Coturnix japonica: one gene and its partners. The protein of the gene in region 2 interacts with the protein of the main gene of each other region in a pairwise test. Links are inferred from orthologs where the notes say so. Each region holds a gene or a part of one and is shown on either strand. Other genes may lie near its edges.

The links.
Region 1: the proteins of TRIM63 (region 2) and SQSTM1 interact in a two-hybrid assay, tested with the Homo sapiens proteins (2 studies listed by BioGRID and IntAct). The link is inferred for Coturnix japonica from reciprocal best matches to the Homo sapiens genes TRIM63 and SQSTM1.
Region 3: the proteins of TRIM63 (region 2) and cytochrome b-c1 complex subunit 1, mitochondrial interact in a two-hybrid assay, tested with the Homo sapiens proteins (2 studies listed by BioGRID and IntAct). The link is inferred for Coturnix japonica from reciprocal best matches to the Homo sapiens genes TRIM63 and UQCRC1.

Annotation. Positions count from the first base shown.
Region 1 is NC_029528.1:4,614,066-4,624,427, reverse strand, and holds SQSTM1 (sequestosome-1), read right to left. Parts: upstream 6,368-10,362; 5' UTR 6,291-6,367; coding exon 6,113-6,290; intron 6,013-6,112; coding exon 5,917-6,012; intron 5,187-5,916; coding exon 4,957-5,186; intron 4,862-4,956; coding exon 4,705-4,861; intron 4,263-4,704; coding exon 4,173-4,262; intron 3,656-4,172; coding exon 3,414-3,655; intron 3,162-3,413; coding exon 2,954-3,161; intron 2,346-2,953; coding exon 2,188-2,345; 3' UTR 2,035-2,187; downstream 1-2,034. Other genes in the region: MRNIP (MRN complex-interacting protein), read left to right, coding at 247-334, 849-1,415; MGAT4B (alpha-1,3-mannosyl-glycoprotein 4-beta-N-acetylglucosaminyltransferase B), read left to right, coding at 9,773-9,869. UniProt on the Homo sapiens protein: Molecular adapter required for selective macroautophagy (aggrephagy) by acting as a bridge between polyubiquitinated proteins and autophagosomes.
Region 2 is NC_029538.1:2,857,712-2,868,123, reverse strand, and holds TRIM63 (E3 ubiquitin-protein ligase TRIM63), read right to left. Parts: upstream 6,266-10,412; 5' UTR 5,725-6,265; coding exon 5,491-5,724; intron 5,401-5,490; coding exon 5,231-5,400; intron 4,294-5,230; coding exon 4,125-4,293; intron 3,859-4,124; coding exon 3,763-3,858; intron 3,662-3,762; coding exon 3,428-3,661; intron 3,303-3,427; coding exon 3,280-3,302; intron 3,166-3,279; coding exon 3,041-3,165; intron 2,953-3,040; coding exon 2,881-2,952; intron 2,768-2,880; coding exon 2,757-2,767; 3' UTR 2,577-2,756; downstream 1-2,576. Other genes in the region: SLC30A2 (zinc transporter 2), read right to left, coding at 1-10, 92-226, 306-411, 534-708, 782-935, 1,010-1,156, 1,311-1,510, 1,726-1,778; serine/threonine-protein kinase PDIK1L, read left to right, coding at 8,741-9,025. UniProt on the Homo sapiens protein: E3 ubiquitin ligase. Mediates the ubiquitination and subsequent proteasomal degradation of CKM, GMEB1 and HIBADH.
Region 3 is NC_029527.1:6,716,585-6,726,833, reverse strand, and holds the start of cytochrome b-c1 complex subunit 1, mitochondrial, read right to left. Parts: upstream 5,237-10,249; 5' UTR 5,168-5,236; coding exon 5,105-5,167; intron 4,431-5,104; coding exon 4,290-4,430; intron 3,855-4,289; coding exon 3,768-3,854; intron 3,000-3,767; coding exon 2,870-2,999; intron 2,101-2,869; coding exon 1,902-2,100; intron 1,290-1,901; coding exon 1,210-1,289; intron 1,100-1,209; coding exon 984-1,099; intron 713-983; coding exon 569-712; intron 1-568. Other genes in the region: SLC26A6 (solute carrier family 26 member 6), read right to left, coding at 5,730-5,753, 5,834-5,958, 6,267-6,321, 6,409-6,594, 7,115-7,219, 7,416-7,508, 7,657-7,726, 7,918-8,024 and 8 more. UniProt on the Homo sapiens protein: Component of the ubiquinol-cytochrome c oxidoreductase, a multisubunit transmembrane complex that is part of the mitochondrial electron transport chain which drives oxidative phosphorylation.

The DNA of each region.
Region 1 (10,362 bases), on a different chromosome or scaffold from region 2:
CATTTTGGATGACAACGGAAGGAACTTGGTTTTTGTAATCCCTGCCTTTAAGTGACGAATGCTTGTTAAAGCAAGTTGGGAGGTATTTTATCATTATAGCTGAACGAAGTACAGGCTGCAGTGAACTGCGTGGCTTGACTTCTGTTGCTGGGAGTTTGCTTTTTATGAGCATTTATGGTGACTTGTTTGTGATAAAACTGACAGCAGAGTTAATCAGGCACCTTTCTACATGGTTCTTTTGGTCAGGCAAAAGCAGAAGAGCTTCCTTTACAGTGATTTTCAGGAGAACTCAGAGGAAGATGGTGCTTTCCAGCTTCTCTACCAAGCCAAAAAGGTTAGAACCTCTTGAGTATTTTTGGCTGTAAGAAGAGTAAAACAAAACAGTATTTTCCTGGCTTCTTTTATGTCATTGTAACTTTGAAGTTGTACAAGTCTTCCGCTGCTCTTGTATTTGAATGAGCAGGGAGAGGCAGCAAATCGTATTGTCAGTTTCTCTCTGAAGGGTTTTAGTCAGGGAGTAGCAGATGCCATCTGCTGTAAGGTAAAAGTGGTTGAGCCGGATTCCTCCATCAATGCAGCTGTTGTCAGTTCTGTTTTGCAATTGAGCAGCAGCACCTTGCATAAGACACAGCTATTGGGGTTACTGTGATTATCTGCTTTGCTAATTAAATTGGCTTGAGTCTTCACAGCCAGGGTTCATAGATGCACTCAGAGCATCAGCCTCAGCTCTGCTTCAGATTGTTGGTCAAAACTTAAGTGCATCTGAAGGACAGAAGTGCTCTTACTTTGCCTGTTTCTTGGTACACGTGCTGCCTTTACAACCAAACTCTTTCTTTTCCTTGTTACAGTGCAAGAAATGTTCAACAGAAGTGCCTGATGAAGGTGATGGAGATGCTGTTTCTGCAGACAGTGTAGTGCCAGCTGTCTTTGAGTCCATAGTGCCACAGCAGAACAGCCAACCCCCAGCTGCTTGTACCAAGCCCTCCAAGTGGGAAAAGTATCTCTCCTGTTCTAACAACTGTAGTGAAAATGCTGTTATGGCCACTTTGTCACCACAGGATGGCAGTGGAAGGTTGGGACCACACAGCACCACTGCAGTAAGTATGGCCACTACACATTTGGAACAGGCTCAAAGTGCTCTACCTCTAGGTACAGATTTTGAACGTAAAAAGTGCATTCCTAGCACTGAGCAACTCGCCTTAAAACTGCCTGGCAGTGTGCAGCCCAGCATCAGTTGCTCAGGTGAGAAGGATGCATTGGCCAAAGAACCTCCAAGTCAGCTGCTATGGGCTGGAGCTGGTGACTTCAGCACTGGTAGCAGACCTCCTGCACCCACCCTTGTGAGGCCCAAGCCTCACACCTCTTCTTGTGAACGCCTCTTCTGCACAGGTGATGACTTTGATGATGATTTCTGAGAAACTTGGGCATCTTCACCATTGCTTTTCTGTCTGTTTTTGGCTTGTATACTGAAGCAAGATTTTGAAGTGAAGGTGGTTTTAAGAGCATTATTAAAGAAGTTGTTTAAAGGCAATCTAGCTGTGTCTTGTTGGGAAAGACTGATCCAAGAAGCAAGTGCTATGTTTGCACAGTGGTGTCTAGCAAGTACATTAGAAGTAAGAATGGAAGTAGGTCAGATGGGAGGGAGCAGGGATGCCTCCAAGGCTTTAAGAATATCTTACCAGTACAGTTAAGTTCTGTGATTAATTCCCCACTATAAACTGCAACTCTTTTCCCTTGTTCTAGCTCTTTGTTTGCATCACCCATAGCAACTCTTTCTTTCAAAGCTACGGTGCAGGCTTCAGAGCCAAGCATTTGATTGCTCTTCACAAATGAATAACCCCGAGGTGTCTGCTCAGAGCCCAGGTTATGTGCAAGAAACAGACTGGCACAGAGCTAGCCTTACTTTTACACTGAGAACCACCTGACATAGAAATCATGTGCTCTTGGCCTGGATCTTCTCCTAACTTATAATCAAGTTCCAGTTAACAGAGTAGAACAGTTATGATTATTAAACAGCCACAAACTCATCACCAGTGAAAGAGTGGCAGTATTTATTTTTTTCTCCACACTACAAGCACTTAGGAACATGAAACAGAAACCTGTAACAGAAGATGCATTTGCTAGAGTTAACTGTACCACATAGTTTTCTTTTAGTTAGAAGGAAACTGGTTTTTGTTACATAGGCTACTACAAGTTAGGAGGCTGCTTGGAATACTGGATGGCATCTAGCGCTGCCCCGATGTCACAGTTCTTTGTCTGCAGGAGTCGAGTGAGCCATCCACCCTCGTCAGAGAAGCCCATGGAGAGCATCTGGGACAGAGACTCAATCAAGCGAGGGTCTGCTTCTGTCAAGAGAATGAGTTTGAAGTTAAAACGCTTCACATTATTAGCAAACCAGCCAAGGCTGTGGTATCACATGGTGGGCTGGCACTAATCCTAGCAGATCTAGCATAGCTGACAAGCGCTGGAAGACACTTTCCTCTGTATCCTATGAGGCAGACATTTTGAGATACAGCATATGTAACCTGCTAAGGAAGCAGCTGAGTTAGATCCATCTGTCCTTGCTGTAAACCTCATTGCCAGTGGTTTCAGTTAAGTGACCTGGCAGACTCCTAACTAGCTCTTGCCAGAAAAGTGTCTTAAGTTACAGGATGTATTGTCTACAGCCTGCATTAAAAGGCTCTCCAAGAGTACACAGCAAGGACACTGATTAGAGGCCACCTCTCTCATCCTGCTCAAATGGCATATTAGTACCAGTTTAAGACTTGCTGCCACCATTCAAGCAGAGAACATGCCTGTTCCTAACAGCATGCAGAGTGCTGCCAGAGCACAAGTTACAGTTTAACTTGTCTGTATGTGAGCTTGGTTCCTAAGCAGGTTTGCTTATATTGGACAAGTTGGCAATAAGTGAGAGCAACTTTAACTCACGTGCAACCTGCATGCATTCTCGTACCTGGTGGGAGATGTGGGTAGAGTGCAGCCTCTCTCAGCCCTGTAGGTCCTGCCTGGGGAGCTTCCTGAGCTACATCTAGGGAGCTGGGATCATCTGTCTCTGGCATTTGTAGAGACTGCAGTTCACCTGTGGAAGGATCCACTTCTTTGGAAGACAAGTGGGTCCAGTCCTCGTCACCCCCTGATGAACTGCTTGACTCACTGTGTGCCTGAAATGGAAAGAAAGGAGGTCCAGGTGCCGTAGTGCTTTCCAGGTAGGATGCATGCTCTTACTATCTGCTTTTAATAGGAAGAATTACATTTACAACAAGTCCCACCTTTGCTGTAAACCAGTAAAGCAAAGTGCCATATATTCTCTATCTGCTGACAACTGAATCATCAGTCCCTCAACACATACTGAATTATTTCCTTTTCAGTAAGGCCTCAGCAAGCGTATTAAATTAATGCAGTGTTTCTTGTACCTGGGACTGGAGGCTGCCATCTTCCATTTGTGTGGGCACAGGATCTATCACCATGTCTTGTATCTGCTCTGTAACATTGTTTACTACCGTTGCAGAATCTGTGCTATTCCAGCATGGTTTGCTCTGACTGTTCTGATTAGCAGTACTGCTGCTTGACTCGGCACCGTTATTCTCTTGATTAGAAGCAGGAGTCACTTTGCTTCTCTGTCCTCCGTGTTCCACATCAATATCAACTTCAATACCTGGGAATACATTTGAGACCAAGAAAAAACCATTAGATTTTTGAAAGCACGGTTCTAAGAAAAAAAGCAAACTTTAATCCTGGACTAAGTGCTGCAGCATGACTGTAACCCTACAGCTCCCCATATAATACGTATGAATTCAAGTGCAAAGCGTTCTTTTAGTTAGCTCTGATGCACCAATTAGTCATCCTGCACTAAAAAGACAGGCCATGTGTTTAGAGGGTCAAGGCAGACCTTAAGTATGTGTGCCTAAGCAAAATACCACTGTAACATGATTTTAAATCATCGGTGATTTGGGGTTATATAATTAATCCCTTCCTTGGATCCTTACAAAGGACTCTGAAAAGGTACTGAGTAGATGGCCTATACCCACACAATTTTAGTACACAGAAACTTAAGGCTTTTGAGGCTGAGTAGCACAAAGTGGTTCTGGTACCAGCCACAACAGCTGGCTGCTGCTCCTGGTGGGAGCAAAGCCATTCTCAGGGATGGGGATGACACACCATAAGTCACTTACCCAGGGGGCTCAGAAAAGCTGCCACACTCTCCCCAACGTTCTTTAAGAAGGTGACATTGGGGTCCTGGGGCTGGCTGTTAGTAGAAGCTTCTAGAAGAACAATTTGTGTTAGTACACATAGCAGCCCATAGGGAAAGAGCACATCCCCAGGAATTCTTGGTGCTTGTTTTGTGTCACTCATCTGCACAGCACCAAGGCAGCAGAGAGACCAAAACCACCTCTGGAACAGAAGACCAGTGGCATTAGCACTGTTAAGGCTCATCAGCCATGCTGAAAGCACATCTAAGAGCAGAGCAGTGACATGCTTGACCTAATAGCTCTGCTTGGTCTGGTTCCAAATAGGCTCTCCATAACCTCATATATTGTGTGGCCACCAGACCACACCAGTGTCCTGGAAAGGGCTCATTATTTCACACAAATTGGATTAGTTCCCATGTCTATTTTCCCACCCAGATCCCACACTGGGCTGTGAAGTCCCAGCTTCTCTGGCTCCTCCACTACTATTCTCCTTTAGCAGACCATCTCCTCTTACCTCCAGCAGCGGGTGGACTGGAGGCAGCAGCACTGGCCTGGGCTTGTTCCGAGTTCTGGCACGGAGCTGCAGGTGCGGGATACCCCCAGCAGTGCATCCAGGGGAAGGGTGGAACACCATGCCGCATCTTACGGAGCCAGCGCCCTCTGGGAATCCACTGCAAAGGGTAACGTTCATGGGACCAGGTGAAACTTAAAGCTTACATTTGGGCAGCATCCCTTTTGTTGGTTCTGCTCCATAGGTTTTGCTCACCTCAAACGGATTCAGCAGCGGGCTCTGAAACATCACCATGTTGTGCTCCTTGTGGATGCCTTTCCCCTCACAGGTGCTGCACAGGTCGTAGTCTGGGCAGACGGTGCACTTAAATCGAGCGCCCACCACCGGCCCCTCGCAGCCGTCACAGATGACATTGGGGTGCACCATGTCCCGGGGAGGCTCCTGGCTGCACTGGGAGCGATGTTCACGCCTGCACTCCTTTTTCTCTATTAAGGAAAGGGATCTTTGCATCAAGAACGAGGGTACTATTTAAAGGCTGGAAATCGGGCAGAGGGGAAGGAAACACAAACAGCCCTTGTCACAGCAGTATTGACTTACTAGGGCAGTTTATTTTTACACTGGCTGCCAAACACAAGCTGGGGGCACATAAGAACATAAACCAAGTGCAAAGGGGTGGTTCAAGGATACCCGCTCTTCAAACACTTTGTTTTAGATCAGTGCTGCACCACCCTGCCTGGAGCATCCTCCTACCTTGTGGAGTGCTGCGAGAAGAGAATGTTTCTGAACAGAGCTGAGCAGTGCCAGGGGACACTGCAGGTGAGAACTGAGACAAGAAGGGCGGCCTACACTACTCACATCACAGCCTACAGATAAAGCTTTGTAGGTGTCCAAGTGAACAGAGCGGACTGGGGAATGATGTGCTTAGGAATAAGCTGGTTTTGGGGTTTCTTTACATGTCATGGCACCTGCTGGCAGTACGGCAGGGGGTTCCTAGGACCATCCTGAACACTGCAGCGCTCACTGTGCCAACCCAGGCCCCGGAGCCAGGAGGAACCCCTGCACACAGTGGGTCTGTGCCCGTCTTTACCTCGCCCTTTATGTAACCTCCCCTCTGAGCTGCAGCACGAGGATGAGGGACAGGACCGGGATTTTCCCGGTCTCGGAGCCGTGCCAGCAGCACAGAGCGCTCGGTGCCACCGGGCTGCGGGGCGTTACCTTTGATGTACACACGGAAGACCCCGTCCTGCACGTAAGGCATGGCCATATCCAGCTCCTCGTCGGTGGAGAACGCGATCAGGTCCCCGTCTTCATCTGGACAGAGCAGAGCACACCGTCAGGCGCTCGGCCCGCACCCACCTCCCGGACAACGAAGGGGGCCCCGACCCACAGCGAGCCCCCCCGCCCCGCTCACCCTTGTAATGCATACGGAACGCGGGCGGCGGCCCGGCCCGCAGCAGCCCCTGGAAGAGCTCGGCGACGCGGTCGTGGACGGGCTGGTAGCGGACGGGAGCAATGAGCGAGAAGCGGCGGATCTCGCGGGCCGCGTCGTCCTTGCCCAGCAGGTAGGCCTTCACCGTCAGCGCCGCCATGGCTGTGGCGCAGCACGAATTGCTGCGGGACAACGAGCGGCGGGAGGCGGCGCGGGGCGGGCGGTGCTGCGGGAGGGAGCGGCGGCACCGAGCCTTATAGAGCGGGGGGACGGGCCGGGGTGGGCACAGCCCTGGGTTAAACCACGACCACTGCCATTAGGCACCGCCCCGCCGCCTGGAAATACAGAGCCCATATTCGCCCCGAAAGTAATGCCTCCTATTTATCTGCATGGAAACTACAACAGCTACAGAGATCACAGTGACGCTGTTTGACAGAGCAGGTTCTCAGCTACAAAGCACTGTTTTTCAACGCGGTCACCACCACTGTGCTGTGCATTGTCATCAGTGGTGAACACGAGGCTGCATGCTGCTCTACAGGTGACTGTGAAACACACGGCCATGCCGTGCTCACAGTGCTGTGCTCACAGTGCTGTGCTCACCCACTCGTTGGGCTCCATAACACTCAGCAGCTGTTGGCTCCTTCACCCTCTGCTGCCATCCCACCTGCAAATGGGAGGCATTACTTTTGGAGCAACCCCTTTGCCTCAGCTCTGTAGCACTGATTCCCTCCAGCCCACAGCCTGGCTGCCCACCTTGGGCTGAGGCAATCACAGTGTGTAAGCCATGCTGTGCTGCACTGCAGGGTGAGCGTCCCCCCACGATGGGTTGTGTGTGCCACAACACGGCCTGCCGTGTGGATGTGCCCTTGGTGCACATGTGGCTGCTCTGGGATCACAGCACGCTCCTGGGACGTGGCACTCGTGCAGCATGAGGTGACAAGTGAGAGCTTGGTGTGAGCCACAGCCAGGCATCAACATGAGTCCTTGCTCTCCTCCATGGGCACTTCCATCCAGTAAACATGGAGAGCGTCCCATCTCAGCTGCCTGCTGAGTCACGCTGGGCTCTCTGGCCGTGACATCATTCACTTTCTCAAAGCACAAAGCAAACAAGGCCTGCGGTGAGCAGTGAGCTCAGCTCAGTCACGGGACGGGGTGACTCAGCATTCCCTGCTCCTCCTCGAGGTGGGGATTTCCTCCTCCAGGCCCTGACTCTGGTGTTTCCCCGTGGCCTGGTGCTTCGGCCCTGCCGTGCTCCCATGTATTCCAATGGCACTCACTGCATCCTCCCATCCCACAGCCGGACGGACAGACAGATGTCTCCCCACCAACCCCAACTGCACACTGCTCTGCAGCCTGAGATTTGGCTTAAGCTCTTGTTAACCTGAGCCTGTATTAACCTGGAGGACCCAGGCCTGGAATTTATCTGGCAGCACTGAATGTTTTCTTGCTCTTCTTTAGGAACCACATTCCATCCATAGAACAACCCTTGCTCAAAAAACCACTTGTCAGCCCCGGCTTATGAGCAGCTCCCCAGATGGACGGAGCAGGAGGACAGCAAAGAGGATGGGAATAAAACTGTTCCAGTTTCACGACTCCAAGTTGCAGAGGGAGGGCTCAGAAAGGAGCATTCAGCAGCCCCGCAGCTCTGCTTCCTCCCTCCACCCACCTTCTGCTGGAAACTGTTTGCAAACGTTTGCTGAGATTGCTGCTCCAAAGGCTCAGTCGTCAGTAGTGCTCCTTCTACCCAAGCTCTGCACTGTCACAGCAAAGCCCTGCTGGGATGCTGCTCCTGTGCTCACGGACCACAACAGAGGCTGCAGGAGGTTCTGCAGAGGGAATCATTATCCAAATCACCACCCAAGGGGCTGCAGCTGGGCTGGGAGGGTTTGCCCTTGTGCAGAGCTGCAGAGAGCAGGTGCTGGTGCTTTCCAGAGGCTTCTGGAGAGGGATCCTCCGGATGTACCAGGTCAGATGCTGGTGACTCACCCCGTCCCGTGACTACTTCCTCCTCCAGCCCTGCAGAAGGGCTGCCCCACCACCACCGTGCCTCCTTCAGCCACACCAGGGCACAGAGAGCTGCATGGGGCAGCTCCTGGCATCCAATCACCATCATAACACCTTGCATCCATCCTGCCCCCAGGGTGTCACAAATGCATGCTTACACATACACGTATACGCATACATTAATAGGTGTACGTGCATTAATACAGAAGTACATCCCTTTTTTGGTGGTAGGATCATATTCAGACACGTTGCTTTGGAAAGCTGTGTGGGTGGAAGGGGAAGCCGAGCTGTCTTTTTGCTGCCTCATTTTGAGGTTTGGATTTCTTGAACCTGGTGGTGGTTACATGGGATCAGCACCATTTGTCACTGGTGTGACACAGCATTTGTTTTTAAGGGAGGAAGACACGGACAGAGAGTGAGGAAGGTGGGCACAATGTGCGGATGGGAAGCACAGAGCACAGCACACATCTGTGCTATGGGAGCACATCGGAGCTCCGTGTTTGCACAGGTGAGGTGGCACTTTTTCCTACCTACATTCATTGCCTGCAGTGAGTGCTGTGCTCACAGTGAGATTTGTGACTTTTGCCCCACATGAGAGGCAGGAATGTCTGAATACAGCAGCCTGTGGGCACCAGGCAGTGAGGTGACTTCATTGCTGATGTAACAGCGCTGTGCTGATGCAGAGCAGCTGGGGGTGAACAGCTCTTCAGAGAACTGGGCAAAATCAGCTCTCAGTCTGCACTGCATTCTATCTGTGGGCCTAACACGCCTTTCTCCTATTGTCTGTAATGGCCTTTAGTTATGGGCTGCTGTCTGTGTGCTCAGTGTGCAGCCCGAGCTCCTGCAACACGCTCAGTGCTGCCAGCACCGACGGGACGAAGGTCACTGGGCTGTGTTTGTTGGGCTGTGTTTGTTGGGCTGTGTTTGTTGGGCTGTGTTTGACGGGCTGTATTTGTTGGGCTGTGTTTGTTGGGCTGTGTTTGTTGGGCTGTTTGTTGGGCTGTGTTTGACGGGCTGTGTTTGCTGTTTGGGTTTTGTGTGTTCGCTGTTTGGGTTTTGTGTGTTTGCAGCTCACAATTCAAACTTTCCTTAACAAAACAAAAAAGGAATGACAAAACAAAGCCAATGCTGTTGTGGGGGCAGGGAGGGCCTGTAGGAGTCAATGTGAGCTTTGCCATTAATACGAACGTCACAAGGGATAAAAGTTGTGCTCTCGTTTTGCTCTGGGAGCCTGCAGTGCTCTGCATTTCCAACCCTTTTATATCTGATATCTTCTGTGCTGGCCAGCTGGAAGGTGGACACTGTGTCGAGTGTTCCTGTTTCTATGTGTATAAGCCGAGTACAGAGATATCTGCCTTCATACATGCAAACCAAAGGCACGCAGACGAGCACCCAGGTACACGCACACACTAACATGTCCCCGCATGTAGCGCACACAGCGCTGCAGTGCCGCATTCCGCCACACGGGGGCGCTCTCCGCCCGCTCCCGTCCCGTCCCCGCCCCTCCCGCCCCGCCCCGCCCCGCACGGCGCGGTCCCCGCATGCGGCCGTTGTGGCGGCTCGCCCCGCTCCGCGCACTGCGGGGCCCCCGGGGCCGCCGAGGCCGCGCCGCGTTCGGGCCATGCGGGGGAGGAGGCGATGAGGCTCCGCAGCGGCACGGCGCTCACGCTGCTGCTCGGCTGCCTCTGCGCCCTGCTCTCGCTCTCGTGGTACGGAGCCTTCGGCGGGCACAAAGGTAAGGGGCGGCTCCGGGCCGCGGGGCGATGCGGGACTGTCCGCGGAGACACCGCGGGTGGGTCCTTGGGACACGGGGTCCCGGCTGGCGGCGTCCCGCTGTGCCCCGCTGGGGTCCCGCTGCGCCCGGGGGGGGCCGCGCCGCGGGGCTGGGGGTGACACGGGGCTGCTGGGCGCTCCCGGCTGCGATGCTGGAGGGCAGAGCCCGTGCCGGCTTCAAACCGTACGGGGTTTTAATCCCTATGGAGAGATGGGGGCCGTGTCTCCGGGGCGCTGGGGGAACAGGAGCACCCCGTTGCCGCGTTGGGGCTTTGTGGGCAGCCCCCTCCCTGTGCTTCTGCATGGTGGTGTGTCTGGGACGGTCCCATGTCCACAGCTGCAGCCTGTGCTCATCCTGCAGCACAAATACGGGGCGTGACCCCGATGCACACCCCTGTGTGTCCTTCTGGTAGGGCTCACTGCCCTGGTTCCCTCTGGCACCGGTTGCTGACGAG
Region 2 (10,412 bases):
GCATCCGCATCTACAAGGAGCCCGGAGGGTTGTTGGGGGCCGGAGGAACCCCCATATCCCATTCCCCGGCCCTGCATCCCTCAGCACTCACTGATGGCGATGTGCACAGAGAGCAGCGGCTGCGAGGCTGTCAGCGCCCAGATGTGCAGGCTGTGCACCGCCTCCACGCCGCCCACCGCCAGCAGAGTGTCCCGCACCGCGTTGAAGTCCATCCCCCTGGGGGTGCCTGGAGGGACACGGGGTGGGATGGGGATAAGGCACTTATGGGAGGGGGGTACATATCACCACTCTGGGGGGCTCCCTACCCTCCATGAGGACGAGGAGGACGTCACGAAGGATGGTCAGCGTTGTCCCCAGCACCAGAACGGAGAAGAGGAAGGTGCAGATGGGGTCCACAAACTTGTACTCAGGCTGGGAGGGGTGGAAGCAGGTGAAACCCCAACAAGTGCAGCCAAATCCCCATTAACAATCAACCCCATCTCACCTCATGGCTGGACAAGACTATGTCCCCCATATCTCCCTCCCCTCCATACCTTAAAGAAGATGATGTAGGATGCAATGAGGACGCCGACGCTCTGCAGCAGATCCCCCACCACGTGGACGAAGGCAGCACGGACGCTGGCATTGGGCTGTTCGTGGGTGTGGGGCTGCTCATGAGCCCCTCCATGGCTGTGCCCATGGCCTGTTTGGTGCAGAGCCACCCCCATCCTGCAGGCAGGGCAGCAGTGACTTCCCCAGCCACCAATCTCCTGCCCAGGGGTTGACAGCACATCATACATACACAATATTGACGGCCACGGCGCAGGCAGAGGTGATGAGCATGACACTGCCTTCAATGTCGTAGTCACCCAAGAGCAGGCGTTGGGCCGCCAGGTACACCAGGACACCCGTCACCACCCAGATGGACAGCACAGAGAGCAGGGCCCCCAGGATCTCTGCAGACAGCCCTCCATGTCATTGTGCCATAGGGATGGCACACAATGGGGCTGTAGCTGGATCCTGAGGTTACCTGCCCGGTGCCAGCCAAAGTTCATGGTTTTGGTGGCGGGACGTGAGGACACCCAGAGGGCAAAGAGGCTGATCATGATGCTGGCAAAGTCCGTCAGGAGGTGGGCAGCGTCCGTCAGGATGGCCAGGCTGTGTGCCAGGTACCCACCTGTGGTATGGATGGGGGATCCCCATCCAGATCCAAGCATATGGGCATCCCATGGCAAAACGAGGTGCCCTGCCTGCCCCACGCCTGCACCCACAGCACAGAATGAGACAAGAGGGGCCATGCAGGGCAATGTGTTCACCCAGCGTTCACTCACCCACAGCTTCCCCCACCATGAAGATGAGGCAGATGCCAGCAGCCACATAGAGCTTCCTGCGTGCCCGCTGCTGCTGGTGGGGGTCGCTATCAGCCCCCCTTGCATGGCAGTGCCGGCGGTGCCGTGCCCTCAGCTCCAGGGTGGGCGCCTGGCCCTGCGCTGAGCCGGCTGTGTGCTTCTGTACCATCCCCAAGTAGGACCTGCAGGGAAAGGTGACATCGGGGCACCCGGTTGGGGGACATGGGGGAGGGAGGAAGGGATTTGCAGCCCGCTCTTTGCATTTAGCCCTGCTCCGACGTGTCCCCTTCCCCAGATCCTCTCCCTAAACAGATGGCTTTGGCAGACCCCATCCGGGAGCACAGTGAGGAGAGGGGTGCACGCAGGTTTCCAGCCCCCCCCCCATTCACCCTCTTACCTGCCCACTCCCTCGCCCAGCAGCTGCTGCTTCTCCCCTCCGCCCGCTGCCATCCTGCGGGGTCCGGCGCTGCTGACCCCGATGCGGGTCCGGAGCTGGTGGCAGCTGTGACCGCGGCCGTGTGAAGCACCGGGACCCGTGTGCAAAGCAAGGCCGGGGGGAGGAGGGCCAAGCCGGCTGCAAATCGCTTGCTGAGCCTCGCCCCACGCTGGCCGTGCCGCAGCCCGCAGCCGGGGGGCTCTCGGGGTCACGGAGGGGCTGCTCTGGGCATCCCCATGTGTATCACACAGAAGCACATCTTAACCTGCATGCAGGATGTGGCTGCATCCCTTAAGGACAGAGCTGCATTGGTGCACCCCCTCCCCACCATGGGAACAACCCCCCCCCCCCCAGTTTGTGGTTGGACACCCCCATAGCAGTGACTGCACCCCACTGCCCCCAGGAGCAGCACTGATTGCTGTGGGGCTGACTCCAGCTCTGGGCTCTGCTTTCAGCACTGCCTCAGTTTACCCTCAACCCTGAGCTGGGTTTATGTTGGCACAGAAGAACCCGACTGTGCTGTGATTTTGGACCCATGTGAGCTCAGCTCCATGCTGTCCCCTTTTGGGGCTGGCAGAGTTTGGAGCACCGTCACCCCATGTCCCCGAGGCCGGGTAAGCACTGGGATAAATCCTGCTGGGTGCTGACCTGTCACATCCCGGGAGCACAGCCAGCATGAGGTGCCAAGGCCACCAGAGGTGTTAATTAGGCTGAGAATTGGGCACTGATCCCATAGCAGAGAACACTCCCACATCCCCAAACCCATCACAGGGTGAGAAAACGAGAGGTGAGAGAGGAAAAGAAAACAAAAGCCAGAGCACCAGTTTTCTGTACAAAATACACAACTCCATTACAATTATATACAAAACAAGGAACATATAAAACGTGCGGAATAGTCCTCTTGGCACCCGTATAGAAAAGTGTCCTGTACTGGAGCTGGATGGCCGGCCCCGTCAGTGTGTCCCCAGGTTCTGTCCTGGACATCCTGTGTCCTACTGGGGGGCTGCAGAGGGAGAGGGCAGTGAGTGGGACTTCATCAATCCTCTGTCATCCCCTCTGTCTGTGGGGTTTCCGCTGTGATGCTGCTGGTGCCGGCACAGAGAGGGCTGGCCCTACCTGCCACCACCCTTTCGGGTTCTGTGTCTCCTGTATCTTCTTCCACCTCTTCATAGAACTCATCTTCTTCATCTGTAAACAGGCACCGGATGTCAGTGAGGGGCAGCTGCTGAAGGACCTTCATTGTCAGATCCCAAAGGGTTTTTTGGGGTGGAATTACCTGGCTCAAAGTCGAGGGCGCGGACAGCATCGGCGAGGTGCTCAAGACTGACTGTGAAGGCGTCCATGCTCTCATAGCCTTGCTCGATCTTCTCCAGCTTGCCACCCTTAGAGGCTTCCACAATGCTGGGGGAGGGAGCACAGCATTGATCCCACAGCCCCAAGCATAGAGCAGAGCCATATGACCCACATCTGGCAGGGGATGGGGATCCCACAGCTTTCCCCAGTTCGGGCACTTACGTTTTAATGAGCTGCTTGGCATTCTGTGGAAGTAAGAGGAAAGGTGAGGATGGCAGAGTAGCAACACCCAGCATGTCCCTGTGCCACCAGGACGTGGCACAACAGACTCCCAATAGGAAGCAAGGGCTTTAGGGGTTGGGGGTCTCACCATGAGGAAGGCGGCCCCGCCGGTCTCCTCCATGGCCTGGATGGCCGTCTCCACCAGCCGGCTGGACTTCTCCAGCTGCTCCTTGTACTTGTGGATGAGGCCCTGCACAAAGCCTGTCTTGTCCTCCTGCTCACGGGTGATGCGTCCCAGTAGCTCCGTCTTCTTCTCCTCCAGCAGAGCCATAAACGCATCAAAACGTGAGCAGAGCTCTTGCTTGGCCGCCTCGCTGTTCTCCTATGGGGACAAAGATGTGTCCTTCCAGCCCCTGTGTCCTCTGCTCAGGGGCTGCCTCCCCCAGCACTTGGTTTCTGGGGGGATGTTTCCATGTCCCTCACCTCAGTGCTGCGGCAGGAATCTTCCAGCTGGGAAATGATGGTCTGGATGCGGTCGTTCCCCGCTACTAGCATGGAAATGCAGTTGTTCAGCTCGCTCTGGGAAGGGACAGATGGACAGAAGCAGCTTTAACCCCTGCAGGGCACAGATGGGTGCTGCCAGGGTATCACGATCCAGCCCCCATCCCACAGGCTGAGAGGGGGGGGCATCGCACTAAATATAGGCCTGTCTCCTGGTCAAAGTCAGCCTGCTGCCTATTAATACCCCATGAGGCATCCCAATGCTATTTGCAGCCACCCTAGCTCAGCACATCGCCCAGATCTGGCCATTCCCCACTGTGGCCCCATGTCCCCCCATGTTGCACCTTCTGGCCCTGGAAGATGCTCTGCAGAGGGGCGACTTCGCAGTCCTTGTGAGCACCGAAGACCTTGCACATGGAGCAGGTGGGGACCTCGCAGGTGACGCAGTAGATGTTGATCCTCTCATCCTCATGATCCTTGCACATGGGGTGCTCCCCCTTCTTGAGCGGCCTGCTGGAGAGAGCAGCCCAACCACAATGACATCCCCAGCACAATGACATCCCCACCATATTGACGTCATGTCCCCATCATGGTGACGTCCCCACAGCAGTGACCTCCCCACCCAATGCAGAACTACTGCCCCATAACCGGATCCTGGCCTTATCCTCCTGCATGCCCAGTAAGCCCAGTTTGTAGCAGTGTGTCATCAGGCATGGCAGCAGTTGGGGCCACGCTCCAGGGATGCTACACAAGCTCCTAATTTTAGCTGAGTGCTGCTGGCATTTATTATTATCATCCAACGCGTGACCCGGGCAGGGGCTCCAGGGAGCTCAGGGGGGTGACAGCCATTGAGTCACCACTGGGGGGTTCGCCAGCTCCCCCCCGGGGGCTGCTGCCACCTGCCACGTGCCTTCCATCCCTGTTCCCATGGAGCTGGAACAATATTTACAGTGGGGCAGGAGAATGGGGAGATGAACTCACATGTCTGGGTCCTTTAAAAAACATCACCCCCCTGTTTGTCCCCCTCCTGCTGCACCTCTGCCACTAAGTAATGCTGTCAGACCCCTCAGGCTGTCCCCCTGTCCCTTATCATTCCCTGCTGTCACAAGCAGAGCCTGGATTTGTCCCTCACACCCCTTATCTTCAACATAAAGCCAAAGCTGCAGGGTGCCAGGATGGGGGCTGGATTCGTTCTTCTGCCACCCCCTTAGGGTCCCCCTGTCCCCACAGAGCAACCGCAGACTAGAACAGCACAGGCTGGGAGGGAGGTTTGGGCTGGGAGATGGAGATTTGTGTTGGGGGTGAAGATTCGAGTTGAGAATGGAGATCTCAATTGTGAGGTGGAGATTTGGGTTAGGGAAAGGTGGGGAGGGGAGCACCAAGCCAGCCTCCCTGGTTCCTCGCCCCCCCAAAAATGATGTGGCTGCCCCTGTGTCCCCATAGGACCAACCTGGAGAACTCCTGCTTGTAGATGTCGATGATGTTCTCCACCAGCAGGTTCCTCTGCAGCCCGTAGACACCGTGGCGGTCCAGCAGGACCTCATGGCGACACGTAGGGCAGCGGAACCGGCCCCCTGAGATGATGCTGCTGCCCCGGCTCTGCCAGTATGGGTTGGCAGCCTGGAGGGGGACAAGGACATCGGGGTGTCCCCAGGTGCCCCTGCAGAGCATCCCAGAGCAGGGCAACGTCCAGGGGGGTCCTCATCTCACCTGGAAGATGTCGTTGGCACACTTGCGGCAGAGGTTATGCTGGCAGGGCAGGATCACCACAGGCTTGCTGAACATCTCCAGGCAGATGGGGCACAGTAGCTGCTTCTCCAGGCTCTCCATGGGGCTGCCATCACGTAGGATGCTGGGCTGGAAATCCATTGGTACGGCACTGCTGCTCCTCCTCAGAGCAATCTCAGTTCTGGAGCCGGAGCCCCTCGTGCAGCTTTTATCCATAGCCCAGCAATCACGTGGAGTCGGCTCGGCTGTCCGAAGGTATCAGCTGTCACATGGCGGTGACAATCGAGGCGCGCGGCCGCAGTAAACAAGCTGGGGACATGCTGGGGACATGCTGTCCGTATGGCCCTGCTGGGGAACACCGAGAGACTGGGGGGGGGTCGATGCTGCTGGGGAGTCAGGATGAAAAAGCACCGGGCTGGGGGTTTGCATTGCCCTTTGCACCCTCAAAATGCAACTTCTTGTGGGGTGAAAGGCACCTGCAGGGCAGCTGATGGCTTTTTAGCTGAACTGCAGCACCTGGGGGATACAGCAAATGTGCTTGGTGCGTGCACCCTCTCTTCCTCATGCTTCTCTGCACCCCAAAAATCCATATAGCAGCCTGCAAGGGGGTTCCCAAGCACAGCAGCACCATGCTGCACATCCCACATGCCCGGCTGTGCCCTGCACTTGTTTGCAAAACCTGACCCAGAAACATCAACAGGAAAACAGGAGTGTGGCCCCTCCAGACTGCTCCCAGCTGGGAGCCGCCCTGATCACATTGCCTGGCTGTCAGCTGGCACACCAGTAAACACGGTGTTCTTCCAAATCCCAGCGCCGGTGCACAGGGAGACCTGTAAATATTGGCAGCTGCAGGGGAGAGGATAATTATAACACCTCTGCTGTGGGTCACAGGACGGGGTTGGGTGAGGTGGCTTCTCTGTTCCCCATAGAGCCCAATGGGTAGGAGGTGCTGCAAGTGGCCAAAGGGATGGGTGCTGAGATGCTGCGGTAAGTGGGTGGTGGGTGCACAAAGCCATGGGCACACAGAGGCACAAGTGCATGGGTACATGGGAGCAGGGGTATCTGTATAGAGGGCTGTAGGAGTGCACAGGTGCATGGGTGCACATTGATGCATGAGTATGCAAGTACAGGGGTAAATGAGGTTACTTGGGTGCACAAAGGGTACAGGGGTGCACAGATAGATGGGTGCATGACCACATGGATACGTGGGTGCACAGCTGTATGAGTACACTTATGCATAGGGACACAGCACAGTGGGTGCACGCTATAGGGGCTCTAATATTGTCCCAGATGAACCCCCCAGACATGGGCAGCCTGTGACTGTTCCAGACGCTCCTTCCAGGAAGGCTCTCACATGTCAACCAAGTGACAGCACAGAAGCCAGCCAAGCACATCTTGCAACATTGTCCCCTTTTTGGCACTGGGAGACCTTCCAAGGAGGTTTGTACATTGAGATACACACCGTAAGGGAGGGAATGGGGGGGGGACCGGATGCACACCTGTCCCATTGCTGGCCCTGCCCACTGAACTCATCACTGCTGGACTTTATGAAGGGGATTCCCACAAGAGGATGAGCTGGAACGCCCCATTCGGTTTCCCAGCCCCCAATGGCTCCTCCTCAACCCCCAGTTGGCTCCGAGCAATGCAGGCACGGCTGCCAACCAACCAACCCGAGCGCTGTAAACACAACCTCCATCTGCTCCCTGCTGCCATTGAGGACAGCGGGGGAGCCCAGAGACGCTGCCAATGATGGGGCAGGTGAATAAATGGGTGAAGAAATAGATGGGTAAATAAATAGGCGAATAGAGGGATAGGTAAGGGGCTGTCATTGCAAAGCTGCGCCGCTGACACGCAGATAAAGTGAAGCAGAGGAGCTAGGCTCGCTTGCTGTCCCACCCCAAGCAACGAAAAAAGAGATAAATAAAAAAGAGATAAAGAGGAAATAGATAAAGAAGAAATAGATAAGCACCAATGCCTACATACACGCAGCCAATCAGAATGCGGTGCGTCAGTGGGCGTGGCCTTCGGGGGGTCGGTCCCTATGATGGCGGCCGGGCGGCGGCGGCGCGGCCTTAGTGCGGAGGTAACGCGGGGCTTTGGTGGGTGTTGCGGGGTCCCACCGCATAACACGGAGCTCCCGAGCGTTGAGAGGGGCGGGCAGGGGTATAATGGCGTTGTGGGAGAGCTACGAGGGGTCTGGGTGTTGTATCGGGGCCTTGCGAGGCCTCGGTTTGCCGGAGCTTGGTGCCCTCGCACTGATGATGCCTGTCTTTCTTTCTCTCTCTGTTTCTTTCTCTTTTCCGAACAAATAGTTCCTACCGCACTGGAATCAATCGCGAGCTCCTCGTTAATAGCTCTGATGAGATCCTCCCTTCCCCATCAAGGCGTTTAAACGCAGTTCTCACTGCGGCCTTGCCGGCCTGGCCCTCCCCTGGTGTTCTGTATGACACAGCTGCCATTGCATTGGGGTCATCGGGGCCTACACGGTGTGGGGCTGCCCTTCTTCCTCCCCCATTCCGAGCTGTGTGTGTTGTTTTCCTCATAGAGCATCGCTCCACCCCATATCCTATGGAGTAACGAAGTCAGCTGGGTGCTTCTGCTGCTTCTTGTGACAGTAGGAGCTAGTTGGGAAGTCATAGCGATGTTAAAAGATCAGTGATGCTTCCTATCTCATCTTAGTGCCAGAAGAAGGAAAACCATTGTTAAGTTATCACAGCGAGCTTTACCTATGCGGTCATCTTAAAAGTCAGCTCTGTTTCAACCTGTTACTCCTCAACTGCAGGTTTCAGCTAGAAACTCTCTGATATCCCAGGTGTGGATGGAGAGCATGAAACAGCCCTGTTATTCGCATAGGAAAACCCAAAAGACACTGAGGGAAAGGAACAGCAGGATATGGGATAGCCCTGCCTCAGCGCAGTGCAATTCTAGGTTTGAATTGTTGCCTTCTTGAACGCTGAGCTGTGTTTGAAATCATATAGTCCCACCCAAATGATGTATTAGCCAGCCCTTATTATGGCTTCAAGCTTACAAGAGTGACTTCTGAAGTCTTCCAGCACTGGAGCACAGCATTGCATTCAATGTGATGCTCAGAGACCTCCTTGCACGCTGCAGGGTGTTGGTGCAGCTGGCATTGCCACGCCAGGCCATATGGGGGAAGACACAGCTCAGTTCTTGTTCATAAGTTATAGTTGTGTGGGTTTTTCCCCCTTCCCCAGAAGCCTTGATCTTGAAGATGGTGAGTAGCCAGCCTAAGTACGATCTAATACGGGAGGTTGGTCGTGGCAGTTATGGTGTGGTGTACGAAGCAGTCGTCAGGAAGACCTCTGCACGGGTGGCAGTGAAAAAGATACGGTGCCATGCTCCAGAGAACGTGGAACTAGCTCTGCGTGAGTTCTGGGCACTTAGCAGTATCAAGAGCCAGCACCCCAACGTCATTCACCTGGAGGAGTGCATCTTGCAGAAAGATGGCATGGTACAGAAGATGTCACATGGCTCCAGTTCTTCCCTTTATTTACAGGTACATGAAGCTGAGGTAACGGGGTGGAAGTGCTTATGTGGATGTGCAGCTGGGAGGGAAGGAGGTGGGTAGCTAAGATGGCTTTTGAGGTATATTTAGGCAGGAGAGGGTATCGTTTGCTTTATTTTATGTCTTTAAAAGAGCTTATCTATTGAACAATCACCTGCATCTTTTAATTTGAAGCCATGCGACGCTAAAGGCTCCAGGACTTGCTTTGCTAAGTTGGGGAAACACCACAGGGGGAGGTGCAGGCCTGTAGAGTCCTGCTGCAGGGTTAATGAGCAGCACTAATGTCTTGAGGCAGAGCCCTGAAGGATTTCTTAATGTCAGATGCCTTTGGAAGGGGCTGTCTTGATGTAGTAAGCCAACGTTTAACTCTTCCCAGATGTAGTAAGCAATTAAGAGAGCTCATTGAGCTGGTAAATAACTTCAAAGAGAAGTAAATGTATGGTATGTAGAGGAATAGAAGAGTAGATACTGCTATCCTTTCTGTTGGGGCTGTTGAAAATGGAGTTGCCTAGAAGTTGGAAGGCAAGTATTTCAGAGCAATACGTAGCCCTGGAAGGACCTGAAAGCTCATGTGAGCTTGCTAGGAGTCTGCCCCAGCTCTAAATCATCCCCTGGCAGACATTTGTCTCTCTGATATTAAAGAATCAGCGGCCTGCTAAATAAACATGTGCTGCATTATCCCCGATCAGCTTCTATCATTTCAGTTTTTATTGTTGTCATTCTTGCATGGCTGACACTGAATCTTTTGTTAGTGTGCACTCATTTGCCAACACTTCATTTGCCAGCACTTCATGGCTGTTCTGATCCCCTTGTGCTGGGTGTTCTGCGAGCCTGAGAAAGGCTTCTTGCCTTTGTCAACTTGCCCTAGCACAGTCATTGTTAATGGCACGTTGCCACGAAGGGATTAGGGTAAAATAATACTGATCGGCTCACGTGGGGTAAAAGTAGTACCTTATTTTGTTAGTGGAGCTGTAAGATACTGCATCAGACTTGCAGGGAGCTGCAAAGGGAGAAGATAGGGGGGAAAAAAAGAGGGGTGTGAGGGAGGCTGCAGGGTGGGACTGTGAGTGAGGAAGAGCTCCCAGGTCACTGCTGGGTTATGTCAGCAGTGCAGCATGCAGACCTTGCCCGTGTTTGGGGCACAAGTGCTGCAGGTTGTTTTCTTGCTCCAAAGAGCAGAGAAGAGCAAAGGGCAGAGCTGAGTGCAGAGATCACTTTATGATAGCCTATGCTGAAAGAGAGAAACCCAGATCTCCCTTGGCTTGCTCTCTCTTCTGCCCACTCCAGGTGATATTACATTACCAGGCTGAGCTGGTGTAGTGTGAGGAGGCCTGGGAAGGGCTGTTGGTGTCTCCTGCAGTGCTTCAGGAGACATAAG
Region 3 (10,249 bases), on a different chromosome or scaffold from region 2:
ATGTGGGCAACAGATGAGAGTCACAGCTGGAAAAGCCACACACAATAGCCTAGGAGTCCACACAGCAAAATCTTTTCCCTTCCCAGCATCAGATGAGGAACTGGTACATATACCAGTATAGAAGTGGAGATATTGGCAAGTACAAGGTTTCCCAGTAGCAGGGGTTAGCAGTCAAGACAAATTATAGACGAGAAAGGATGTAGTATTGGGGCTTTATACAAGTTCCAATTGCTTTATATATGCAAGGCAGGCTTGCATCAAGAGACTACAGGTTACTCCATAATGTTTCCACCATTGAGCAGTCAGGTCATGAAGGCAGGAAAAGCTGCTCAGAATTAATCACCTGAACTTCTTCCAAACACAGCAGAAAAGGCCCAACTCATCTCCTAGCATCACATCTTAAAAACTATCCTGGGTTAGCCTCGATTACACCTCTACTTTCCATATCTCTGACCAAATCTGGAAGCTAAACAGAACAGCCTCCCATAAAGCAGTTTAATCTGGTGGCTCCACAGTACCTTGCAGAAAAGACTCCATGCTCTCCCTATCACATTCCCAGGTCTCTTACCTTGCCACCTCCAAACGTGCGGTCATAGCGTCCAATGATTGCATTAGCCACATGGAGGACAACGTTATCAGGATCAGCCCATCCTGGCCCCTCCACAGCAAGAGCAATGTGGGCAACAGGCAGAGCATCGTCTCTGGCACGGATCTGGGAAGTCACCAAGGAACAGGAAAGAGCTAACTGAGCATTTTGATGTTGTCTGCAGTCTGATGCTACACCAAGTTGACAAACTGGAGAACTTCACATTATCCCAGTGAAATAAAATTGCCTCAGGCTCTATTGAGGACAAATCAATTGCTCTGATGAAGTATTTCCATTAGACAATGTGAGCAATAGTATCATATTCTTACTGGACTTTGTTTCCATCTAAAAGCCAACATATTGTGACAATAAGACTAAGAACATGCGAACACTTTACCTCGCTCCCTGTGAAACGACAGCGTGGCAGAATAGGCACAGCATCCTCTTTGTATGTAAAGGACACCCCACTGAAGTGTTTCTTAGCTGCATCTACCAATTCCTTGTGAGAAATACCTGTCAATAAGGGAAGTTTCATAGAGCTCCATTTAACAAAATCATCTTATTTTACATTAGAGATGCATGTCAGGGGGTTGATCACTAGAGTCTCAACAATCTGGGCTTACCTCCAGCAGCTGCCAGGACCATACGAGGTGCCTTGAAGTGAGTATCAACATACGAAGCTAGGTCTGCTCGAGTCAGATGCCTAGAAAGCACAAAGAGATACCTAATATATCAGCTTCTCAGAGCTGGAGGGATTAGAGACTGAATTCACAGTGTAGAGGAAAAAGTGATGCTGTTGATTATATCAGTTATGGGATAATAATACTTTCCTGAAGTACATCTGCACTGCCTTTTTTCCCCTGCACTCTAATACTGGAACACAGAGAAAGGAAACAGGTGGTCAAGAGTTAAGGACAGAGTTCAAATGCAGACCAGAGTATCAACCCTTGGTCACAGGGAAACCAACACACTAACAGGTGTGAATGCTTGAGGCCACTGCTTTAATGAGCACCACTAGCTCTTAATGCCTCTAAAGGCATCAAACCAACAAGTATGGGAAAAGGTTCAGCCAAGCCCTACCACCATCAGATCATACATGAAAACTGATTCTGGAGAGGAACATGAGCAGCATTACACATTTACCAGCACTAAGATGGAAAGCACAGTCCAGACTTATGAAGCCCATGGGCACATATCACCTCCACATACAGTCTCACTTATTCCTTGCATACACTCTGACTGGTTTTCTTGCAGGAGTTATGCACCCCAAAGTCTGAGCCCACAAGTCACATAGTGCAGCCAGTCTATAGCTTACTTGATGTTCTCTGTGGTCCCCTCGACGGTGCGGGCCAGTGCAGTGCCCTGGAAAGCAGTGGCGTGAAGGTAATCAAAGGTAACGTTAGTCAAGTCATTGTCCATTTCTTTTAGCTCCTGAAGGATGACACCACGCTCCTTCTCGATCTGAGACTCCTCCAGGGCACAGTTCTGCACAACGTCAGCCAGAAGCTCTACCACTGCAACATATTTGCTACATTAGCAATCAAAAACAAACAAGGCAGCAGGGATACAGCAAGAGGGAAATAGACTGTGCCGGGGTGGTGGTGCAACACAACATATCTACTCCCACAGCATCAGAGAGGGACAAATAACACAGTTTTAGGATGAAGAAATCTCTAAACCAGCTTGCCAAGCATCTGTGATAGTTCACCATTGCCAGCAGAAAGTTGGCAGAAGGTAACAAATACAGAAGGTGATGCATGCCAGAAACAAGGTACTGTTGTAGAAACAAGCTGAATTATTGTGGAGAGTCTGTGATGTCTACAGAGTGGTCCACACTTACAGTAGGACTGAGTCATAACAATAGCTCTGACTCAAACCACCTCCTCTGGACAAAACTGACCCAAAGAGGAGCCTGCACACGATAGGTAGCACAAAGCATATGTGACATCCACAAGAGCGGCACTGAGCACTTCTGACACAGTAGCTGCTGCTAACAGCATTTTCTTAGCTCCATAAAGCAACTACACACTACTGAACCCCTACCCCCTGCCTTCTGGCAATACAGAACAGCCTGACAAAAAAAAAAAGAGGTTTGTAAGGCTGCTTTTAGGTACAAGTGAGCTTACAGCCTTAAAGCACCACCTCTTGGTTAGTGCTCCCTCCAACTGCCAAATACCGTCTTCAATTTACTGCTCAGCAACAGCCTCATTCCCTGGTCAATTACTATAAAGTATACTGGTGGGGGAGAAACACCTGCTTTTTTTCCGCCACTGACCATCCTACCTTTTGGCATGTCCTTGGACAAAGCCTTTATGTAAAAGGCACTCTGCTCACGTGAGGTGTACCCATTGAAGTGAGCTCCCATGCTCTCCACTTCCTTCTCAAAGGCAGCACAAGGACGGTTCTTTGTGCCCTAAAAGTATGCAGAAATACATAGATAGTGAACAGTTCCCCCACATAGCTGAAATAAAGCAGTAAAAAGAACAGTAAAAACCTAATGCAATAAAACCTGCCACGTGATTTGTAAAAAACAAGAGCTGGTGCAGAAAGCAAAATATTTAACACTTGGCTTATTGACTATAGCTAAAAAATGGCTGAAATGTATTTTGAAATGCCGAATGAAACCCAAAGGAAAGGAGAAAATCTAAGCTAAAGTACAACAGGGGCTGAACAGTGTAAGTAAATATGGACAAGTCACCACTAAAAACAGGAAGCAGGTTTCTAGTCCTTTAACTAGCAATATTTGGAGGATACCAGAATAGGAGCAGAAAATTGATTCTGAAATAGAGATTCAGGTCTGCCTGCTACCCTGAGGAAACAAGTTTCATCATGGTTTTATACATGTGTTACAATAAGCTGGGATAGTAAGGAATCGCAGCATCAGAGAACCAGTCCAACTTATTGCTCATGACTTTTTTCCTTTAAGAGGAGAAATACCAACTAAAAAATACTAGCTGTCTTCATTCACAGCCCCACATTCAAACAAAGACCACCATAGAGACTAGATGCCTTTTAAAGTTTATTGTTATACTACGTGCAGAGCCTCTGAGATTCAGATGAATTGATTCTGATTCACAATTACACCTCTATTAATACCTGCAGCCTCCAAAGCAAGAACTAACATGTCAGTGAACGTCTGGAACATTGTCTCCATGCAGCCTTATGCCAGACCAAGTCTTACCTTAAATGCCAGATGTTCCACGAAATAACCAGCTCCATTGTTCTTCTCATTCTCATAGCGGCTCCCCGCCCCAATCCACACACCCACCTAACAGCAAAGATAGCAAGCACACATATTAGAAAATAAACAAGCAGACAGTATGTTCCAAGACTTGTGCCATATATATAACAGCAAGAAAAAGTGTGCTTCAACAGTAGCCCCAGAATAGGAACATGCACCAGCAACTATTTTCAGTATGCATTCAAGCATTGAACACAGCAGTTTAACAAAAGCCATTGACAGGTTTGCCTAAGATGAAACTACTTCTGGTCAGTTACTGCTTACATGTGGGACTACATCAGTGCAAACACTGCAGAGCTCAGGAAACCAGTACAGTGCAAAAGCTTGGAAAGAAACCAGGCTAGGCACAGTATTACTACAGTTTGACTGAATAACAGAGAACTGGGGCAGTCTTCACCAAGCTTCAGTTCAAAGCCAGGTTTGTCACTATGGGAAGTGAGTCTCAATCCACTCGATGCTCACCGTGCACGTCGGCTGGCTGGACTCCTCCGAAGCCACTCGCAGCCCGTTGTCAAGCGTGGTGACGTTCGTCTCAGGGATGTTCTGCAGTGTCTGCGCGTAGGTGGCCGTACCACGGTTCCTTGTCAGAGGCAGCAGAGTCGCCTGGAACAAAGGCTCACAGCACTCAACAACGACCAGAACCTCTCCTCCGCCCCACAGGCCTCCAGCACACACACACACAGCAGGGCACACTGCTGGGCCGGGCTGATGACAGCGGCCCTGTTGTACCCACAGCCCGCAGCCCCCACGGACCACACAGAATCACAGAATGACCCGGGTTGGAAGGGACCTCAAGGATCATGTAGTTCCAACCCCCTGCCTGGCAGGGCCACCAAACATACACCTTTACTACATCAGGTTGCCCAGGGCCCCGTCCAACCTGGTCTTGAACACCTCCAAGGACGGGGCATCCACAACCTCCCTGGGCAGCCTGTTCCAGGGCCTAACCACTCTCCTAGTGAAGAACTTCCCCCTAACATCCAACCTAAATCTTCCCTCTTTTAACTTAAAACCATTTCCCCGTGTCCTGCTATTATCAGCCCTTTCCAAGAGTTTACTCCCCTCCTGGGATTAAGTTCCCTTCAGGTATTGAAAGGCTGCAATGAGGTCACCACAGCCCCCACAGCCCCTCGCGGCCCACCCGTCCCCGTGACCTTCCGGGCCGAGATACAGGCCGTGTCCCGCCGCACAGCACACCCGAGCTGCCCACCCACCCATCCATCCATCCACCCATCCTTCCCAGCTCCCAGTCTCCCCGCTGTCACACAACGACTCACGCAGGGATGGGGGCTCCGCAGCAAAACCCGCCCGGCCGCCCGGCACACGAAGGACGCCGCCATCTTGTCCCTACAGCGACCGAGCGGGCTGCACTGCGCATGCGCCAAACGGGAGGCGGAAGGAAGGAGCGCTAAGGGGAGGGAAGCGCATGCGCAAAATGCTCCGTAGCGCCCCCAAGGCACATGAGGACAGAGCGCTTCTCGCTGCAGCGCCACCTTGCGGTGGGAGGGCGCAACGACGGGAAGGTTTGGGGATGGGACCGCCGTGCCCGGTATGGGGCCGGACGATGGCACTGGGGATGGGGTATGTGCGGTGATATGGGGCCGCCCATAGGGAACAGCGGGACACAGCCGGCACAGCAGCGCCGCCCTTTGCACAGATGAGGCTTAATTGGCTGAGAATGCCTTTATTGAGGAAACCGCGCTGTGCTCTTTGGGCTCTCGCCGCGGTGACAGCCCGCTGCCGGCATCACAGCCCTCCGCTGCCGGGCTCCTCGCCCCAAACACGGGGCAGATCGGCTCCCAGCCCCCCATCCCGTCCCGCAGAGGCTCCAGGCCCCGGGCAGGTGGTGGTGGAGCCCTCCCAGCGGCACGGCCCCGCTGCTCAGTCGTCTCTTCTGCAGGGCTACATTTTGGTGCTGCGGTTCTCCTAAAGGGGGCAGAGAGGAAAGTCGGCTCGTGCCGTCCCACAACGTGTTGGCGGTGGGGATGGTGAGGCTGGGTGCTTACCGAGGCTGGGCGCACCGATGGAGCATTGATGTGGAGCACAGCGTCATTCACCGACGGGAAGAAGCAGTGCTTGGTGATGGTGGAGCTGAAGAAGTTGCCCCGCTCCAGCTGGGCAAGAACAGACGCTGCACAGAGGGAGAAAGAAGCACTTAAAGCTATGGCAGCTGGCCTCCACCCAAACAAGCGTCCCACCCCCTGCCCAGGACATCACTGGACAGCCAGTATTGCAGAGCTCACACTGGGATGCCAGAGCAATGTGCAGCCAATGGGGACAGCCTGGCACCCCATGATGTGCTCCTGCAACTGCTGTCCTCTGGGGAGAATATGGGGTAGGGGACACCACAGAGGGCACAGAAGCCCCATGACCAGCAGCCGTGTCTCACAGGGGTGGCTATTCCCTACAGGGGCTGATAGCTCTATGGTTTCTCCTCACCTGGGCAGCAGGCAACAAAGACGTCCACTTCTATTTCATGGAAATCCCTGAAGATCTGTAAATGGTAAAAATCATGTCAGGGTAAAGGGATGAGCGGCTGCCATCTGGCTGTCCCACTCCTGCACCACCCCTGAGCCCTTACGTTCTTCAGGATTTTGATGGAGACTGTGTCCACGAAGTTGACGGGGCTGAAGTCCAGGATGACAGCATGGAAGTCAGGCTGGGGCAGCCCCAGGGAGCGCAGGGTGGGTTCAGCAGGTGCTCTATCCTCCTCCTCACTCAGCTCAATCACTGCAAGTCCTGGCCCATTGCACTCAGCCTCTGTGTCCTGTGTGAAAACCCCTTCGCCATGTGGGTGCTGGTGGCACTCTGCAGGGCATTGTCTCCCCAGGACCCTGGGTTTGTCCTGCCCCATAGCGCACTGGGGTTTGGAGGGGTTCTAGTTGTGTTATGGTGGTGGATGTGCCAGGAGTGGGCACTTTGCTCACACCCAAGTCCCACTTCTAGGTTCTTTCCAGGTCACCTTGTGAGCTCTCCCCAATGATTGGAACTGGCCTCATTAGACTCCTCTCCCCAGTCAGCCTTTGCTCTTGTGCTTCATTTTGATGATTAACTTGCCCCAGACTATGAATGACTCACCAGCTCCCCCACCTAATCATTAATGACTGCAGCCTCCTCCACTGACGTTAAAGGTGATGTTGTTAACCCAGATGCATGCCAATGCCTCTCCCTGTCTGGTGGCTGTGGGCCAAACTGGGAGCCCCATGGGATGCCTAGCATGAGCAGAAGGCTATGGCCGGGCAGGGAAATGGTGTGGGACAGCACGAGAGGGATGTGCTGGGAAGCACCTTTTTCCTCTTTGCCTTCTCCTTCTCTGCTTTCTTCTGCTGTTTCTTCAGTTTCTTGAGTGCTTTCTTTTTCTTCTCAATCAGGCGATCCACATTGATGCCACTCTGCAAACCCATACAGCCCCATGGCCGTCAGGAAGAGGGGCAGAGCCTAGGAGGCCCAGTGATGCCATGGAAATATGTGAGGGACACCATGCTGCTGCTAAGCCAGCCTTGATGTCCTGGACCACATCTCCCCTGGCAGGCCACAGGGACCTGAGTGTTGTGCCCTGCCTGCTGTGCTCAGGGCAGATTTTCCTACCTTCTTCTTCAGTGCATCGGAGTACAGCTCCACGTTGGCAAAATAGATGGTGGAGGAGGAGCGGAAGATCTTTATTCCAGGGACTTCCTCTGCCTGGGGATGGATGGAGAGGGTGTGTTACCCTATGGACAGAGATGTGCTCCTTCTTGCCCTCCCTTAAAATACCATGGGGTGCTTTTAATTGCTCCCACCTCCTGTGGGTGCTTCTTCTCTTACCATGCCAACACCTCAGTGCTTTTACCTTCTCATATTCAGCCACGTCCTTGTAGACATTGGTGTCAGTGACACGTCCCAGGATGGAATAGTGGGGGCTGTGGGGAGCAGAGCAACAGGGTGTTCCTGTGGGCTTCCTCTGCCCTTGGGAAACAGTACCAGGTCCCCAACACTTCACTACCCCACACCAGGGACATCCTAGTGTCAGCCTTGGGAGTTAGTACAAATGTCCACGTTGTCCCCAAGCACCACATCTCCCTTGTACCCAGCCCAGCCTGAGGGTACTCACAGCTGGGTCCGGAAGATGACAGTGAGCAATGCGAAGGCCACTGAGGCTCCCAGGCCAATGTCCAGGTTCAGCAAGAGCGTGGCTATGAAAGTCACCACCCAGACCATCTAGAGAGGGCACAGTCAGCTGGGGCATGGCCTAGTCCCATGGCACCATAAGCCCCGTGGAGGGTTAAGGAACTCCCTCAGGGCCAATCAATGCCCTACCAAGTCCACACGGTTGGACTTCCAGAGTGTGTGGAGGTCCTTGAACTGCTTGAACATGCCCTTGAGATTGACGATGATGATGGCAGACAAGATGGCCTACAAGAGAAGTCTGTATGCATGATAGTGCCAAGGACACATCTGGGGGGCATTTCACTGTGCCCCGTATCCAAGGCTGCCTCCAGTCATTTCCCACCCCAAATAGAGCATCCCCCTCCCTGTGCTGCCTTTATACTGGAGGTGAAAGACTGGGAAGTGAAGTGGAGGCTGTAGAACTGGCTGCACCTTGGGCAGGTCATGGAAGAGCTCTCCAATCTTCAGGATGGTTACCAGGATGACCAGGGAAGAGATGACACCAGCCACCTGAGGGGAGAGATGGAGTGAACCTGGATGTTCTCCTTGCCCCAGCTCGTGTCTCCCCATGTTGACACCTTAGCATGGGGATATTGGAAGGAATTTTAAAGAGCAGAGGCAGGCACCCACCCACACCCACCTGGCTGTTTCCCCCTGTGCTCTCCTGCACCAGACTTCGTGACATTGAGCAGCTGATGGCAAAACACTGGAAGAAGCCCCCCAGGAAGTTGGAGAGGCCCAGAGCAATCAGCTCCTGCAAGGACAGAGAAGCTGTCAGGCAGCACCATGCATCCTGGGGCTGTGAGCTGTGAAACACTACAGAGGAAGGGGCTGCATGTGTCAGAGCATCACCTGGTTGCTATCCACTTTGTAGCCATGCTTCAGGGCAAAGATTTTACCCAGGGAGATGCAGATAGCGTAACCCACCACAGCGATGGCGAAGGCATTGCCCACCACCTGTCCAAAGTAGCTGGCATTAGGGACCACAGGCGGCTTCAACCTATGTCCAAGGCAGGAAGATGGGGTTCAGGAGGGGGCCTTGTGGGTACCATGGTGCCCCAGCACAGCTGCCCTTGCCACCCAGCCCCACTCACCCGCTGGGGATGTTCCCCACCACGGAGATGCCAAACTTGGAGTTCAGGTTGACACCATAGGATATGCCAGTGGAGATGATGATCTGTGGGAGTAGCTGGGTGAGGCAGGGCCTCCCTGCAGAAGCATGGCTTATGCAGGAGGACAAGGAGGTGTGTGCCCTGGAGTCCCCTCTGCAGAGGCACCCTGTCCCACCCCCCATCACCCTGTGAGGCACAGGGACATCTGTGGGTAATGGCGCCTGCCCCAGGCCATGGCAGTGTCCCCTTGGGGAGCTGGGACAGCTCTGAGTACCGTGATGAGCTCGATGGGGATGGGCATGGGGAGCTTGGCAGCGAACTTGTGATTGAGCTCCTTCACAATGAAGATAGCCACCATGGCAATGATGGCTGTAACCAAGGTGCCCACATTGGTCTCTGGCAGCTTCTTGCAGATCTCAATGAAGGTCTGGAGGATGCAGGAGGCAAGTGTTCAGGAGAGAAAACAGATAGATAGATACCTTGCTGTTAGCTCTTTCAGGGACACTCCATGTATTCTGTAGGTGATGCTTTACCACATCTGGGTAATCCAGGGTGTCAATGACCCCCTCACTCACCACGAACAATGAGAGTGGCCCTGAGTGCTCGCCTAGGGAGACCCCGAAGACATTCTTGAGCTGGGAGATGAGGACGTGCACAGAGGCAGCAGTAGTGTAGCCACGCACCAGTGGGTCTGAGAGGTAGGTCACCACAAAGCCAAACTGCAGGAGACCCAGGGCCACCTAAAAGGAGAGGTGACAGGAGGAGGTCCCACAGCTTGCGGGTATGGGGACAGCACAGCCACAACTCCCTGCTAGGTTCTTACCTGGAAGATTCCTGACAGGACTGTGATGGTGGCTACCAACTCTACCCTGGCAGCGTCCCGCTGTGCCTCATTGACTACAGTAACGTTGGTGCCATTGACAAACTCCAGAAAGTCCTCACTGGGCATCAAGGAGTCTGTCACGCTGCCAATCATGACAGATATGACAGCAAAGGGACCTGGAAACATGCAGGAAAGGAGTCCAAAGTCAGTGCTTGGCATCCAGTTGGGACCTCTCTGAGAAAGCAGGCAGCTGGCCACTTGGTTGGTGTGCCCATGGCACTTTGGCTCTGGTTCAGCCAACTGTCTTTTTCATGGGGTAAAATGAAGGCAGAAGAAAGGCC